Mytilus edulis: one gene and its partner. The protein of the gene in region 2 purifies or fractionates together with the protein of the main gene of each other region. This does not show direct contact. Links are inferred from orthologs where the notes say so. Each region holds a gene or a part of one and is shown on either strand. Other genes may lie near its edges. The genes, in order: CLK4-associating serine/arginine rich protein-like and cilia- and flagella-associated protein 20.

Region 1 (8,469 bases), on a different chromosome or scaffold from region 2:
AGACCAAAATAAGTCTCTTCATGAGAGGTCCCAATCAATTGCATGCCACAGGTTTAACCGCATACAACATATATACCATGAGTAAAGACAGCTTCAAATAGGAGTTGAGAATATCAAGGCATTCATTTAGGAAACAAAATATAAAGATGTGATAGATAAAATAAATGCATCCAGAATTCCAGATTATAAAGCAAACTGAGTGCATAAATTTATATTGCGATAGGTTTGTGCAATTTGCATAAGTCATCCGGTTAGTAGAAATTAGGATTTGCCAATGGATTATAATCGGGAAAAATATGTACATTCCCCAGTAATATATAAAAAAAGTCGAGCTTTAAAATAACTATTAAAATAGAAGCTGTAAATATATACTTTCAACATGCTTCTTCTATTCACAGTCAATTATTTCAATTCAAAAGCAAACACAAATTCAGCAACAATCTTTTGGTGAACCGGCAGTCAGCGGTCTTAGGTTCATGTATTGCTTTTCTTTTTTTTTAAAGAGAAAAACTTGTTTGTGCGTCTTATGTATTGGAAACATTTTTGTTCTAATAATCGATCATAAATATATATATTTTTTTTTAACTTTTATATCATGAAATTCATTACATGACTTCATAAAGTATATCGTTTTTTAGATATTCTAAAAATAACCGTGCACTATATGCTTTTGCCACTATCCGCTGTTTTCTATCTTCCTTCGAAAATATAGTTTAACATGTGACTATCTCTGAACGAATCAGATTAAAATACACAATACACAATATATAAACAAAGAAATAAGGTGAACTATGTAAGTAATACAGGATATCACAATTACAGTATGATGTATGAACATGTTTCAACTTACAAGTCAATCAATCGACCTCATTGACAGCCGTATTCATGTGAACTTTAATTTAATCCTTAGCTAGAGATTTATAACGCATGAATTGTGTTTGTTCTGTTTTGTTCATAAGGAAAAGAGCAGTTGCAAGTGAAACGAGGGTAAATCATTTAATTGACTTATTCGATCAACAAAAAATCAATCATACAGTTAAAAGCGATGATAAGCATTGTTTTTCATCTAGCTATAACATGAAATTAAACAGACCCATCTAATCTAATTGCACGAGTTCGCTATATCTATTTATATCTATATATATGTTAGTGGCCTAATACGATATATATGAGGTCAGTAAATTCCATTCTTTCAGGATTTTCAGAGCTGAAGACTGAAAGGGCTTTAAAAATAAAAACACACGTGACATTTTTTTTTATGTTTAGCACATTTCTAAACTGCCCTAGAGAACCTGGGACGTCCCAGAGAAAACGATATTATTTTCATTTGAAATTGTATAAATACTGGCGTTCATTACTTTTCCTCAAGGGATAACGTGTCACTTTGCTGATTAAACAAATAGGAATGGTTTCAATTGAAGACTCCATCCATTGTCTTATTTTATAAAACTATTATTAGAATTAATCTAATGTTGTTACATTTGACCTTTCAAGTAAAAACTTTTGCATAGTCGTGTAGCTCCGAACGTTTCTACGTATTTATGCACCCTTCCCGTTCAAAACTTATTAACTAACTTATTTGTTTTCTTTAGAGATTCTATATATATAAAGAAACTGTTGTTCATGGTCGGTTTTCGTTGGTTCATATCTGTCATATTTGGTTTTCGTAAATTGTTTTGCGATGAATTAGACAATTGTTTTTCTCATTGAGTTATTTCATATTTTTTATGTCGGGGCCTTTTATAGCCGAACTATACTGTATGCTTTATTTCTTCTTAATATTATGCTGAAGGCCGAACAGTTGCCTATTATTGCTTACATCTGACTCACATCTACTTCATACATTCCATTGGTGGATATTATTAGTTATCGTATAGTGTGCTAGTGACCTAATACGGTATATATGGGGTCAGTAAATTCCATATGGGGTGAGAGCGAAGCCAAATACAATGAAAGTCCCAACTATGTACTGGCTTCCGAAGCTACACAAAAAACCTTAAAAAAATAGATTTATTTCATCTTCAAGGGAAACCATTGATCCACTACTAAATTGTCTATTCTACTTACTAGTACACTTGGTACAATAAAAAACCTGATAATAAATTGTTCAAATAAGGCCTTTGAACATAGTGGAATTAATTACTTTTGGAGTGTCAAAAACTCGTTGGAAGTACCTGATAAATTGCATGCATATATTGGTGATTTTAAATCTGTTCAAAGTTTTGATTTTTCTACCCTATATACCACTTTGCCTCATATTCTTATTAAGAAAAAATTCACATCCCTAATTAAATGGGCATTTAAAAAGTCAGAATGCGACTGAGTACATATGTTCAAACTCTTTTAGGTCATTTTTTAGAAGCAATAAACAAAAGAACTATGTCAATTGGACATGCTTTGATACTATATATGCGCTTGAATTTTTACTTGATAACATCTTTGTTCGCTTTGGAGATTCCATATATCGTCAAGTTATTGGAATTCCAATGAGGACTAACTGTGCACCACTTATTGCGGACCTGTTTTTGTATTGTTATGAGTTACAATCTATGACTAAAATTAGCAAAGACCCATCGAAACAACATTTGATACAAAAATTTAACAATGCTTTTAGATATTTGGATAATATATTGGCTCTCAATAATGACGACTTCAGTATGTATACTAAAGAAATTTGTCCTGTTGAATTTACTTTTGATAAAGCTAATACTAGCAATGACCACTGCCCTTTCCTCGATCTTGATATCTATATCATTAACGGGAAGCTTAATACAAAAATTTATGATAAAAGAGATGATTTTTCATTTCCTATCGTTAATTATCCATTTTTAGATGATGACGTTCCCTTGTCACCGTCTTATGGTGTTTATATATCTCAACTTGTACGATTCGCTCGTGTATGTAACAACGTATTAGATTTTAGCGAGAGTAATTTGTGTATTACTGAAAAATTATAACACCAGGGTTTTCGATATCACAAACTAGTCAAAACATTTACTAAATTTTCTCATCGGTATAAGGAAATAATTCGTAAATATAACTCAACATGCAGACATCTTATACGTTCAGGTATTTCACATCCAATCTTTTATGGTAATATTCTTTACAAAGCACAAAAATGTTAGTATTCACCTCAAAAGCTTACAAAACCTTTAAACAGAGAGGATATAGTTACGATACTGTTGTCAGGTCATTAAAGATTGCATATTTTGGCTTTAATATTGATTCACTTATAGGGTCTTTGCATCGAAACTAAACACATTTATTTGAAAAAAACAGTTGTTGGCATGACACGGGTTATGTTCTTCTCATATATTTTATGATAGTACGATATTAAACCCCTAACGGGAGGGATTGTACCTGATATTAACCTGACATAATCTTTCAATCAGTTTATTTGAGGTCTGGAGCTGGCATGTCAGTTAACTGCTAGTAGTCTGTTGTTATTTATGTATTATTGTCATTTTATTTATTTTCTTTTGTTACATCTTCTGACATCGGACTCGGACTTCTCTTGAACTGAATGTTAATGTGCGTATTGTTATGCGTTTACTTTTCTACATTGTCTATATAGGTATAGGGGGAGGGTTGAGATCTCATAAACATGTTTAACCCCGCCGCAATTTTGCGTCTGTCCCAAGTCAGGAGCCTCTGGCCTTTGTTAGTCTTGTATGATTTTTAGTTTTAGTTTCTTGTGTATAATTCGGAGTTTAGTATGACGTGCATTATCACTGTACTAGTATACATATTTTTTAAGGGGCCAGCTGAAGGACACCTACGGGTGCGGGAGTTTCTCGCTACATTGAAGACCCATTGGTGGCCTTAGGCTGTTGTATGCTCTATGGTCGGGTTGTTGTCGCTTTGAAACATTCCCCATTTCCTTTCTCAATTTTATGCTCCTTAAAATAAACATGGTGGGTTTTTTCCACATGAGATGTTAATTTACACAACTAGTGATAAAACAGTTGTGTTCACAGCCGATGTTAGTTTCCTCCAACAGCAGTTGCCTAAAACCATGAATGCAAGTATGACCCCCCCCCCCCGCCCCCAGTATATGAAAGGAATGAGTAACTATATTCCGGATGATGCATGACTATCTTGAGTACCAGTCGGACATAACATGTGATGACTAAAGTGGCATTCATTTTACGTGTCTGATAAATGTTAGATCGTGCGTTGATATCTCTCTCGTAAATAGCCTGACTAGTTTGATATTAAAATTTTGCAGTGACATGGCTCCGGCAAAATCGAAAATTTACTATTTTTCTGGCTCTTAGTAAGCGATAGCCAATTTTGAAAGCAAAAACAGCAATCTGTTTACAGATAGGCAAATCATCAAAGAGCTGAATGATTACCATTCAAAAGCGGAAAATTAATAATGAAATTTTTTGAATTATTATCTCAATAGATAAGATTCCATATGAGAAATTATTGATTTCAGCCTACTTTAATATCACTTGAATGCCTTCGACCTGCATCGGACTGTTACCAAAAATATTACTGTCATTTTAGTATAGATCAGTATATACCCATGCAGCTTAATTCGACCCAGGAATCAGATCAATAATTTCAATTTTAAAAAAATAGAGAGAACTTAATTACATATTTCTTCTCAAATTGACGTCTTGGTGGTTTTAATTTTTCTATTTCTGTATAGAAACACCCTGCGTGAAAATGAAAAACAAATTTTGCACATGTTACAAGGACGAGGAAATTTGGGACAAGAGTAGGTATTTCATATGGGGCGAAAGCATGTTAGTGATTACCTCCCTTTGTTGCTTAGTCAGAAGCGAAATGCAAGATCAATTTGAGCTCCGTATTAGACAATTTTCTAGTTATTAGCCTTATAAGCACAAAAGGAGAGCCACACACTATTTATAATTGTTTCACAGGTGAGAGAAATTGTAAAGATTTACATTTGCATGCGCAGAGTTTGTTGTGTCGGGTATGGCCTATGCCATGGGATTAATTATTAGCCATTTACTCATTTGACATTGATTGGCAGTGGCCGGTAACTAAGAGTTCTTGAAGAAATTGAAGTACTACATAAGTTAAAAAGAGTGACCGACTTCAAAATGCATGGTGGCATCTATATCTTGTATCTCCCAGGGCCAGATCCAGTCTTTTTTTAAAAGGGGGTCCCAACCCAGGACAAAAAGAAGGGTTAGGGGGTGTTCCAACTATATGTCTCCATTCAAATGCATTGATCCTCCTAAAAAAGGGGGTTCCAATCCTGGAAACCCCTGGACCCACCACTGCTTCTGTTCTGCAGTTTGATGTATGCTATATATACAGATATATGTGCAGAATAGCTCTACAGGTTATAAAAAAAGAAATAATCTACTTCTGCATTTCTATGCCAAAGCCACTAATGATAATCTGGGTCTGTTTGCTCAAATCATGTTTGCCTAAAATCGGTTTTCATGAAACTTATACTCAATGGTTATAATACCACAAAACAGGTTGGGGACAACCCGCCAAATGGGGAACTGTTCCCCAAATGAGTAACAATCCCTCATTTGAGTAATCATTTCATAATGCTAAAAACTAAATTTTCTTAAAATAGGTCTTTTTAGGTAAGGCTTAAATTAAAATATTGATTGTTTGCCCTTTACCGACCGACCCTATAAATTCGTTGCGCCTGAAAATCTTTTATTTGTATTTACCAGAAAGATTTTATTTTATGTTATTTTTTCGTTCCTACCAAAAATCTTATATTTGTATTTCCCGCTCAAAACTATTTTATCCGGAATTCTCGGGTTTTATCTTTATCGTACAAGGTCCAGTCTGTTTGGTATCACCTGAGCGTTTGACATTAACACTTACATTTGAAGTTTCAAAGCATTTGTTTGAAATCGATTTTCAGCTTGTGAACGCTTTCTGAAATCATGATATGACGTACGCTACTCTGTACCTTTAACTTAAAAGAGCATGGTTCATTTACAAAAAAGTTCGTTTGATACAAAATTATCATCTTGTGTACAAACTAATTTGTAAACGGACGTTGTATTCTTTGTAGGGATGGCCTTTTGTGATCCGCAGATCTCCTGATGATTATGTTAACGATGCCGCTATATTATTTATATCTGACATGAACCAAAAGTGACAAAACCCTGTAAAGTGGAGAATATCTTGCAGTAAAATCGCCAAGTTGTCCATACAGATCATTTATAAATGCGATGTAAAAAACGTGACAATTGTCAGAGTTTTAGGTCTAGTAGCATTTTTATTGGAAACAAAGGCACACACGATGTTTTTAACACTCTAGGGACTTTTTCTACTAGTGATGTATGTCTGCCCAGACATATCTTATCAGTACAAAGTTATCTTTTACAGAAATTCTTAAGGTAAGCATACAAGGTACGTAGTACAGAATATAAGTGCAAGTTCAAACTCTTCAAAGTTCAGGCATATAAACGTTGAAGATATGCGGCACAGCTCTATTTAGTTATATTTGAAAACAAAATAGTAGTGCATATGAATTAGCTTCACATTCTACATGATTTTTTTTTTAAACTAATAGTCCCAGAAAACTTATTTGCAAAAACAAAACGGACACCAATGACATTTATATGCATCTATAAAATAAAATATTATACCTACCTGCCTACCCATGACAAATAATATACCGAGCCAAGTTATTTTTTTGGGGAAAAAAATAAAATATTTTACCTACCTACCTACCCTGTTTCAAAACATAGGGTCGGAAAAGGGCAAACAAACAATATTTTAATTTAGGCCTAAAATGGCACAAATTTATAGAAAATGGAACAACTTCTCCCAAAGAAATAAATTTTTATTGTGGGTTCAAAAAAAGTTAGAAGCCTAGAAAATAGTCAAATTTTCTGATTTTTCATAGGCTTGTATCTTCTCAGTAAATTAAGATAAGGATAATCATCTTTTAGAAAAGTTGCTGCATTTTTCATGAATATGTGCCATTTTAAGAAAAAAAGCTCAGTTAAGAAAATTTTGTTTTTAGCACTACAAAATGATTACTCAAATGAGGGATTGTTACTCATTTGGGGAACAGTTCCCCATTTGGTGGGTTGTCCCCAACCTGCAAAACACAGCTCAATTTGAATTTTGTTGGTGTCACTTATACTGTTTTCGAGTCATGCTCCGTTACAAATGGAAAAATTGTTGAAATTTTCATGTCTGTTCTCAAACTAAACTTCAGTTTGCCTCAACCAAATTATGGCAAATATTCTGAAATGTGACAAATGTATACACGACACTCATTACCACAAACACAAATCCATTTTAAATTTTGGTGTCATCCCTCATACCATTCTAATGTTTTCCCCATTAAAAATGTATAATGTAAAAAATTGCTGAATTTTCAGTTCTCTACATGTAACTTTAGTTTGCATCAACCAAATGTTACGAAACTTATGCAACATGCTAATTTTAAAAAACACATAACTCAGATCAAGTATCAAGTTGGGTAGCTTCACTCTTATTGTTCAACAGTTACATCATGTATATGTCCCTATGCAACTTTGAAAACAAGCAGTGGCATCATCTGTGATTCATGACACATCATCATTTTTTTTTTTCGTCTTCAAGTTAAAATGCAAATGTAACCATGGTAACTTTAATTCATTTATTAAAATTTTGCTACATTTTATAAGGAGTAAATGTCCTTCACATTATAAATTCACACCAGTTAGTTCTGGTTAGGAAGAGTACAATGTATGTTGCAGGCAAAATATTATAGGAGTCCGGACTTTGACAATGTACAGTCAGAGCTCAGACATAGGTCGATTTCTGTATTTGACTTAAAGAGAACAAAACATGTATTTATTGTAAAAATGTGTTTTCAATTTTAGACTTATCTAAGTCAGATAATGACAGACTTGTTTAGGTCTATTTTTGTTGATGAAAAAACTTAATTTTAATTGGTGGCCAAAGTACACCACCTATGACAGCAAAAAACTGTCTGAGTGTTCACAAGGACTTGAGCTACATTGTATCTATATTTAATTATCTAATTGAACATCCTTACTAAACACAGATGTTTTACCTCATTAAGTGTGGTTCCAGGTGGTTGCATTGTAAGGTTAATTAACATTATCTCCGATTTTTTATACTCTCATTCATATTTTTCTTCAGAAGACAAAGCATTGTCTTTCAATGTAGTCATTATTTGATTTAGATGCATGACCTTTTTATAAATATGCATGGGTCTTGAAGTTAACCAATTTTGGTAACTTATCGATTTGTAGGAGTCGACATTTGCAAATTTTTGATTCTGGTCAATTATTTCTTGCTTAACAATATTTGACTAATTAAAGTCGTATTTTGTCTTGCATTAAAGGGAGACAAATCCTAAAACTTACAAATTTAGACCTCTATGAGTCAAAAGCAGATTCAGACTTATTTATGTCTGAGCTCTGACTGATGTACAAGGAAATATATACATTGTAATGGCAAAATTGGCAACTTCATTGAAATTACACTGGCCAACTT
Region 2 (8,155 bases):
GATTTCAACTTAAAAAGGCTGGATAAAAAATTTCATCATAGCACCCAAAATAAATCAAATAGTATCTACCTGAAACAATTCGAATGAGAAAACGGTTTACCCACTATTATGTTGTCTTGCAGTCTCATAGCTATGAACTGGAAAGAAGAATATGTTTAAATTATAGTTTTCTGGTTTTTACTGGCATTGACTGGAACTATGGAAGGTGTTGCAAGGTGGGTTTTTTTATTTTATTTTTGAGGGGTTTAAAATATTAAAAAGTATCAAATTTAGGATTTGTAAACGTTCGATCACATTTCGATGTGCCTAATTAACACCAACCTGACACAATGAACAACTTCGTGAACGCTAAATTGTTCTCATAATGTCATAATATTGACACATGACTCAATCTTTCCAATGAAAATAAATATTAGAGTAGTCTCGCGTGAGTCTTGCATTTTTCTAAAATAAAAATAGCTGAAGTGAAATAATTGAAAATGATGCAATAATTTTTGCCAGTATAGGAGAGATTTTGGGAAGTTTTGTATTTATTTTCAAATGAAAATGTTGTTGAAAAGTGCATTTACAATGCCTCCCTAGAAAATTATTTGTCTAGATTTTATTAAAAAAAAAATCTACATCCTTTTCATTCTTTTCAAAATCATGCAATTGAAAATCCCCGTGTACTTGATATTCATTTGGAAAAATCTCCATCTTTGTGTAATGGAATAAAAGTTTTAGAGTAACACTATCACCCGAGTAAAAATATGAAAATGAGATCAGAAAAACTGTGTGACTAGCTACACAGTTGGGTGGATTACAGCTCGAACGATACGCTAATTTTAATGCACTAGATGCGTATTACAACGTCTTTTTCAAAGATAATTGGAGACCAAATTATTTTAAAAAACCAACACCAATACAAACGACGAAGAGGAAATCAAATCGAAAGGGACCTAACAAGTATCGCCAAAACCGAACAAGGAATCAGCTTTGCATTAGGTAGAATTATTCCTTTTTAGTTTCCCAAATTCATGACCGTAAATATGATTTAAGCAATATCCGTATTTTACTGCAAGTACCAATGTAATCGGCGAACACAGCAAACATACATGAAATATTTGCAACTGGACGTTTAGCAAACAGCAATCTGAAGTGTCGCATAACCTTGACTTGCTAATCATCCATGTTCCCTGTAAATGTACGCGTGCTTAATATGGTTTCATCCACTTCATTTTAACTTTGGTGGATAGTTGTCTCATTGGCGATCATACCACATCTCCATATTTTCATAAAAATGGTCAACCCTATCAATATTGGATTGGTTGGAATTAGTACGTGCTCATCTTGTGGACAGAGTCTTCTCCTTATGTATATAAATGCTCAAATCACCGGGTATTGTACCAAAATTTTACTGTTTGCTAATCAAAGTCCTATGATAAGATTATTTTAAGATGCTTAAATAAAACCCGAGACATATACATCTGCATATATGTCTATGTATATAAAGATGGACTTTTTCGGTGATATAGCTATAGTAAAGGAAAAAAGTTCTTTACTGATTAAATAAATTCATAAGGGGTTCCGCTGCTGATTAAATAAATTCGTAAGGGTTCGTGGAACCCAGTTTCTCGCCTACTATTGCTGTAAGTCGCAGGCTCAACAAAAATGAGGAAAAAAATCAATAAAAATATTTCTCTTGATACTATCTTTTGATTGTAAGAAGCTTCTGTCCAAGTTTGGTAAAAATCCAGATTAGTTTATGAATCTAATAAATGTTTTAAAAACTTTAACTGCAGACTGTATGTAATGTTAATTGGAAGAAAAGTGCATTTATAAGTGAAATGCATGCCGATACACAGGAACACAATTTTGACAAAATTTCCTTTTAGATTCTAGCATTTGATCATAAATAAGCTTCTGTCCAAGTTTGGTACAAATTAAAAATAGTATAAGAAAGTTATTAAAATTTTAAAAACTTTTAACCACAGAGTGAATGTAATGTTTCCCCGCATAAAAACTTAAATTGAGAAAGGAAATGGGGAATGTGTCAAAGCGATAACAACCCGACCATATAGCAGACAACAGCCGAAGGCCACCAATGGGTCTTCAATGTAGCGAGAATTCCCGCACCCGTAGGTGTCCTTCAGCTGGCCGCTAAAATATGTATACTAGTACAGTGATAATGGACGTCATACTAAACTCCGAATTATAAACAAAAGACTAAAATTAAAAATCATACAAGACCAACAAAGGTCAGAGGCTCCTGACTTGGGACAGGCACAAAATTGCGGCGGGGTTAAACATGTTTATGAGATCTCTATATATATAGCCAATTAAGAAAAGTAAACGCATAACTAAGTCCATTTATATGTAAAATACGGAAAAAAATGGAATTTTATTTTTACAAAATTTACTTTTGGATACTACCTTATGATCATAAAAAAGCTTCTGTCAGTGTTTGGTAGAAATCCAGTATGGTTTAAGAAAGTTATTAAAACTTTAAAAAAAACTTTAACCACAGAGTGAATATTTGTGGACGCCGACGACGTCGACGGAATGTAGGATCGCTATGTCTCGCTTTTTCGACTAAAGTCGAAGGGTCGACAAATAGGAACATTATAAAAGAAAAATTCGTGAGGGTTCCGCGGAACCCAGTGTCTCGCCTACTCTTTCTGTTAATCGCAAGCTCAACAAAAATGAGGAAACAAATCAATAAAATATTCCTGTTGATACTATCTTTTGATTGTAAGAAGCTTCTGTCCAAGTTTGGTAAAAATCCAGGATAGTTTATGTAATAAATGTTTAAAAAATTTAACTGTACACTGAATGTAATGTTAACTAGAAGAAAACAAAATTTACTTCTGGATACTATCTTATGATCATAAACAATCTTCTGTCCAAGTTTGGTACCAACCCAGGATAGTTTAAGAAAGTTATTAAAATTTTAAAAACTTTAACCACAGAGTGAATGTAATATTTCCAGGCAGTCCATTTATAAGTAAAATACGGAAAAAATGGAATTTTATTTTTACAAAATTTACTTCTGGATATTATCTTTTGATCATAAACAAGCTTCTGTCCTAGTTTGGTAGAAATCCAGGATCGTTTGAGAAAGTTATTCAAATTTCAAAAACTTTAACCACAGAGGGAATATTTGTGGACGCCGCCGACGACGACACCGAGGACGACGGAATGTAGGATCGCTTAGTCTCGCTTTTTCGACTAAAGTCGAAGGCTCGACAAAAATGAATTTCATCCTCAACATCATCAGAATAACATCTGTCGCAATTATTACTTCATAAAGCACATTTGGATCAATATATCGCCAAGTTTCATCTTAAAACTTGCGATTACTTATTCTGAACTTTGAATATTGTTTTCTTTTTTTTCATACACATAAAAACAATATAATATTGTATAAAAATACAAATAAATTTTATAATCGGAGTTTAAATATCGCTATCCAGCCACAAATGACTTGTAATAATTGAAGAAAAGGATTTTCTTTTTCTTTTTTTTCAAGTTAAAAGGGGGGGGGGTCATTGTTTGATCATGCAGATGAGATTCAGCGTAAATTATCTTATCTTTCCTTTAAGACCTAGAAATAAGAAGTGTTATGATTGCCAATAAGTCAACTCTCCACCATATGACATAAATAAACAAGTGCAAATCACCATACGCGGCCTTCATAAATGAACAAAACCCATACCGCATAATAGTTAGCTATATATAAATGACCCCAAAATGAAAAATATAAAACAATTTAAATGAGAAATCTTACGGTTTGATTTATGTACGCAATCTAGTTACTTGGGATGATCAATGGCTATATTCACAGATGTATTTTGTATCCCATTTTTATTCGGGGGAAAACCTAATAAGCATGATAAGTTAAAGGTTATATGTTTTATACTACGCCGAGTTCACATTAATATTCTATTTCATATAATTTTTTTTTAGTAAATTATAATTTCTATAATCAATGATATTTCATCATATTTCAAATACACCAATTTGCTCAGTCCTATCAATATGAAAAAAATATTTAAATATTAAACGAAATCTATTTTTACTAAAAAAATACGTTACTTTTGGATACTCCAAACTGCATCAATATGTGATGAGCTTTCTCAATCCGCTACTATTTAAATTTACTGTAATAAAGGTTGACAAAGCTTGCGGATTCTTATGATCTTTTAATTCAAATACACTTTAATTAAAAGGATGTGTATACTTTACAATTGATATCAGTTTCTTTTTTTCTAATCAGACCCCCTCCCCCCAATAAAAAACCAACATATTCTACACTAGGCATTATATAGACGAGTAAGGCTAGTACTAACCTTACCTCAAGTGGTTAACTCTGATTCGCCATGATTTTCTATCAATGGACCACTAGACGTTTTACAGCACTCAATCTTCATCATTTCAGTAAAAAAAAAAACGGGGAAAAAAATAAATCTTTTTTTTTTAGAAAACAGTATACTTTGACATGAAATTATCGCCAAACACCTATTTAATTTACCTCTTGCAAATATTAAGACCAGTTTTTTAATCAGATTCCACAAATTACTTAAGTTGTTGATATTCACCAAAAAATACACTGTAAAACAACGAATGATCAATGTAAATAAAACCACGTGTGTCGTCTACTCGCTACAACAGAAGTACTAAGCGTGCCACTACATATATCACTACTCCAAATCCATATATTCAAATATCTTTTTAATTAAGGCATGACATAGGTTGAAACTTTCTGGTAATTTTCAAACTGCATTATTGATATAAATAATTTAAAAGAATAACAATAATATATGTGTTTATACTAATTCTCAATATAGTTCCCTAGCGTCACACGTAGCAACTAAAACCAAGCGCGACCGTATCGCCACCCTTGGCAACTTCTCTAACTTAACCGACACACAACTGAACCTTCACTTGACAACTGTCCACCACGAGAGAAGGAGCGTATTAGTGTGCTGTCCAGGAGGACTAAGAACTTAGAAAATTTTCACTATTATAGACAATAACAATGTTCAAGAATACATTTCAGAGTGGGTTCTTATCCATACTTTACAGTATTGGAAGTAAACCGTTACAAATTTGGGACAAAAAGGTAAGTTATTTTCATTCTATACACCGGTTATCATTACCATAGTGATACATTGATGTCAACATGAAAACCTTCAACTTCATCTAATAATAACATGACAGTATGCATAACTTGCTTCACAATTAGTTTAATATTATATGGTGTCATCACCAGATTTCTATTTCGAAAAATTAAGGCATTTGACAAGCAAGAAACTTTTGTTTTTGTTGACACACGGAAGTGCACGTGTAAACAACTTACAAGTGTTTGAATGTTATATGTTATACACAAATATTTTAATTTTATACACTACCATCGAGATTTATGATGACGGAAGTGTACAATTATTAATTTTTCGGAAGTAATGTCACTTTTAGTAGCCATATGTGATGTTGATGTTTATGAAGATGGAGATGTTCGTCATCTCGCTTCATTGAATTCTATGTCATTATTTTCATTCAATTGCACATTATAGAACATTTTATTAGAAAAACACTACTAGTTAACGATAAATAAAGTATGTTATATAATTTTGCATGGAGTTAGACCTCCGTTGCCAAGATAGTATTTTGTTTCCTGATCATCAACATCATGGCCGCCATTTGCATTCTAATAGACAATATTATAACATCATGTTATTATCGTTGTAGGTTAGAAATGGTCATATTAAACGTATAACAGACAACGATATCCAGTCCTTAGTTTTAGAAATTGTTGGTACAAATGTCAGGTATGTACTTAATCAACCATAAACAAATATTTCTTTGTTTTGAAAAAGAGATAATTTTGAATTATCTCCCTTAAGTAACATCTATGGTAACACATAATCAAACACAAATATACATGCATTTGGTTATTTAATGAGACAAATATAGCTAACTTTCATTTAATGCAATTTTAATTATTCTTATTTATGCAAAACATTACATATTCAATATAATTAGTTGAATACTGCATCCTATATTATTTTAAACATCTTTATTATGTCAAGTGACATGTGCAAGTTTTTAAAGTGATTCTGTAACACATTAGTACTTTGAAAATATTTTCTTTAAAATGTTAATCTTTTAAATATTTTCTATGCTACAAGTGTTAAAATTATTTGTTCTTACAACATAACAAGTTTGAATTGTTTTTCTACTTAAATAAATGCACATTTTATGTTAAATCTTGTATGTTTATTGACTGAATTTTAAAATTAATTATTGAAAGAACATACTTTTTATTTCTAGTAACAAATGTACCGGTATGAATAATATTTTGATATTTCCCTTTTCTATTTATAGCACAACATACATCACATGTCCAGCAGACCCAAAGAAAACATTAGGAATTAAACTTCCATTCTTAGTTATGATCATCAAAAACTTAAAGAAATATTTCACATTTGAAGTACAGGTAAGAATGTAGCAATTATATTTTTAATTTAAAGTCGACCTAAAAATGTTAGTTATGCAATTCTATCACTAAGCATGAAATGTGAATATGTTAAATGAAGAAACTTATCTTTACAAAAAAAAACATGTTACTTTAAAAGAACCCATTGGATTTCTGTTCAGAAATATAAATAAATAAACACACAAATGTGCATAATTCTTCAAATGTTTTTTTTACTATTTCTGTTGCAATTTAGTATAAATAAGTGACGAGTCAATAGACAATGACTTAACCATGATGGTCTTAAGTCCTTTTATAACATTTCTTTCTGTAATATTTTAGGTCTTAGATGACAAAAATGTGAGACGAAGATTCAGAGCTAGTAACTACCAAAGTACAACACGTGTAAAACCATTTATATGTACTATGCCAATGAGGTTAGATGATGGATGGAATCAAATTCAATTCAACTTGTCAGATTTCACAAGGAGAGCCTATGGAACAAATTACATTGAAACACTTAGAGTACAGGTTAGTATTGATTAACTTGTCAATGTATAAATCAGGTTAAATTGTCACAATCTTATGTTTAAGGTTAAGGTCTTGGGAATTATGGTAAAATAAGGAAATATATTGTACCACACAAACAAATAGTTACTTTATTTTACAAGAACAAAAAAGAAATTGGTCCTTTTCAGGAAATAGTGTAAAAAAGAATTGAGAGATGGTAGCCTTTCAACAATTTTATAACAAACTTTTGATGTACAGTTTTGCATTTTTTAATACCCATTTATTACAGTGATATTTTGATTTATTGTTTCTATTTCTTTTTTCAGATTCATGCCAATTGTCGAATTCGTAGAGTTTACTTCTCAGACAGACTTTATTCAGAAGATGAATTACCCGCAGAATTTAAATTATACCTTCCGGTGCAAAATAAAGGAGGCGTGAAAGCATAACAAAATGACTAATTAGACAGTGTATATAAATTATACGAAAAATAAAAATGTTCAAATGCTACTCAAGAACTGAAGGTGAATTATTGCGAGAATGTTGGATATTAAGAGATGCTGCCTGTTTTTACAAATGTCTTGCAAAAATGTTGTACGAGAGACCAATCAAACATGGCTGATTCCTGCCTAGAGTCTCGTTGAATATGCCATGATCATATACGAAACAAAGTGTTCATTTTAAATTGTCATTGATGTCATATTTCATATATCTCTTGTTGCATGAACAGTTATTTTCATATTTATAGGAAGACTCGGTGCAATTATACAGCCAGATTTAAAAATTGTTTATTAATTTTGCATAAATGATTTGATATTATTGTCTTTCTGGAACAAAATGACATTTAGTGCTTTAAAAACAATGTTTTCAAATTTTATACTGTGTTTATATTCCACACATATAGTACTTATTGATATGCAGATAATAATGTAAAGTTTAAATTTGGTTGTATTTGCCTGTAGATCTCCATATCTCCCGTAATTCTCAGGATATTTTTAAAACACAAATTGCATCTAGCATTTGAATAGAATACAAAATAAAGAAGATTTAATTCCATTTTAAGTTGGGATTTATTGCAATATTTTATTTTATATATATTTCGAAGTTGTCTTTTCCTGACTTGTTTTGTTAGTGGATAAATTTTCAAATTTTTTCCTGTTATTGTCTTTGTTAAACAATGTTCTTGCATTT

The links.
Region 1: the proteins of cilia- and flagella-associated protein 20 (region 2) and CLK4-associating serine/arginine rich protein-like purify together in Homo sapiens (affinity purification with mass spectrometry; 3 studies listed by BioGRID and IntAct, counting the BioPlex papers as one, with this or other methods). This does not show direct contact. The link is inferred for Mytilus edulis from reciprocal best matches to the Homo sapiens genes CFAP20 and CLASRP.

What each region holds. Positions count from the first base shown.
Region 1 is NC_092346.1:7,116,045-7,124,513, forward strand, and holds the start of CLK4-associating serine/arginine rich protein-like, read left to right. Parts: upstream 1-4,754; 5' UTR 4,755-4,892; intron 4,893-8,469. UniProt on the Homo sapiens protein: Probably functions as an alternative splicing regulator. May regulate the mRNA splicing of genes such as CLK1. May act by regulating members of the CLK kinase family.
Region 2 is NC_092348.1:4,770,673-4,778,827, forward strand, and holds the start of cilia- and flagella-associated protein 20, read left to right. Parts: upstream 1-4,666; 5' UTR 4,667-5,017; coding exon 5,018-5,101; intron 5,102-5,727; coding exon 5,728-5,807; intron 5,808-6,363; coding exon 6,364-6,475; intron 6,476-6,796; coding exon 6,797-6,985; intron 6,986-7,290; coding exon 7,291-7,413; 3' UTR 7,414-8,155. UniProt on the Homo sapiens protein: Cilium- and flagellum-specific protein that plays a role in axonemal structure organization and motility. Microtubule inner protein (MIP) part of the dynein-decorated doublet microtubules (DMTs) in cilia axoneme, which is required for motile cilia beating.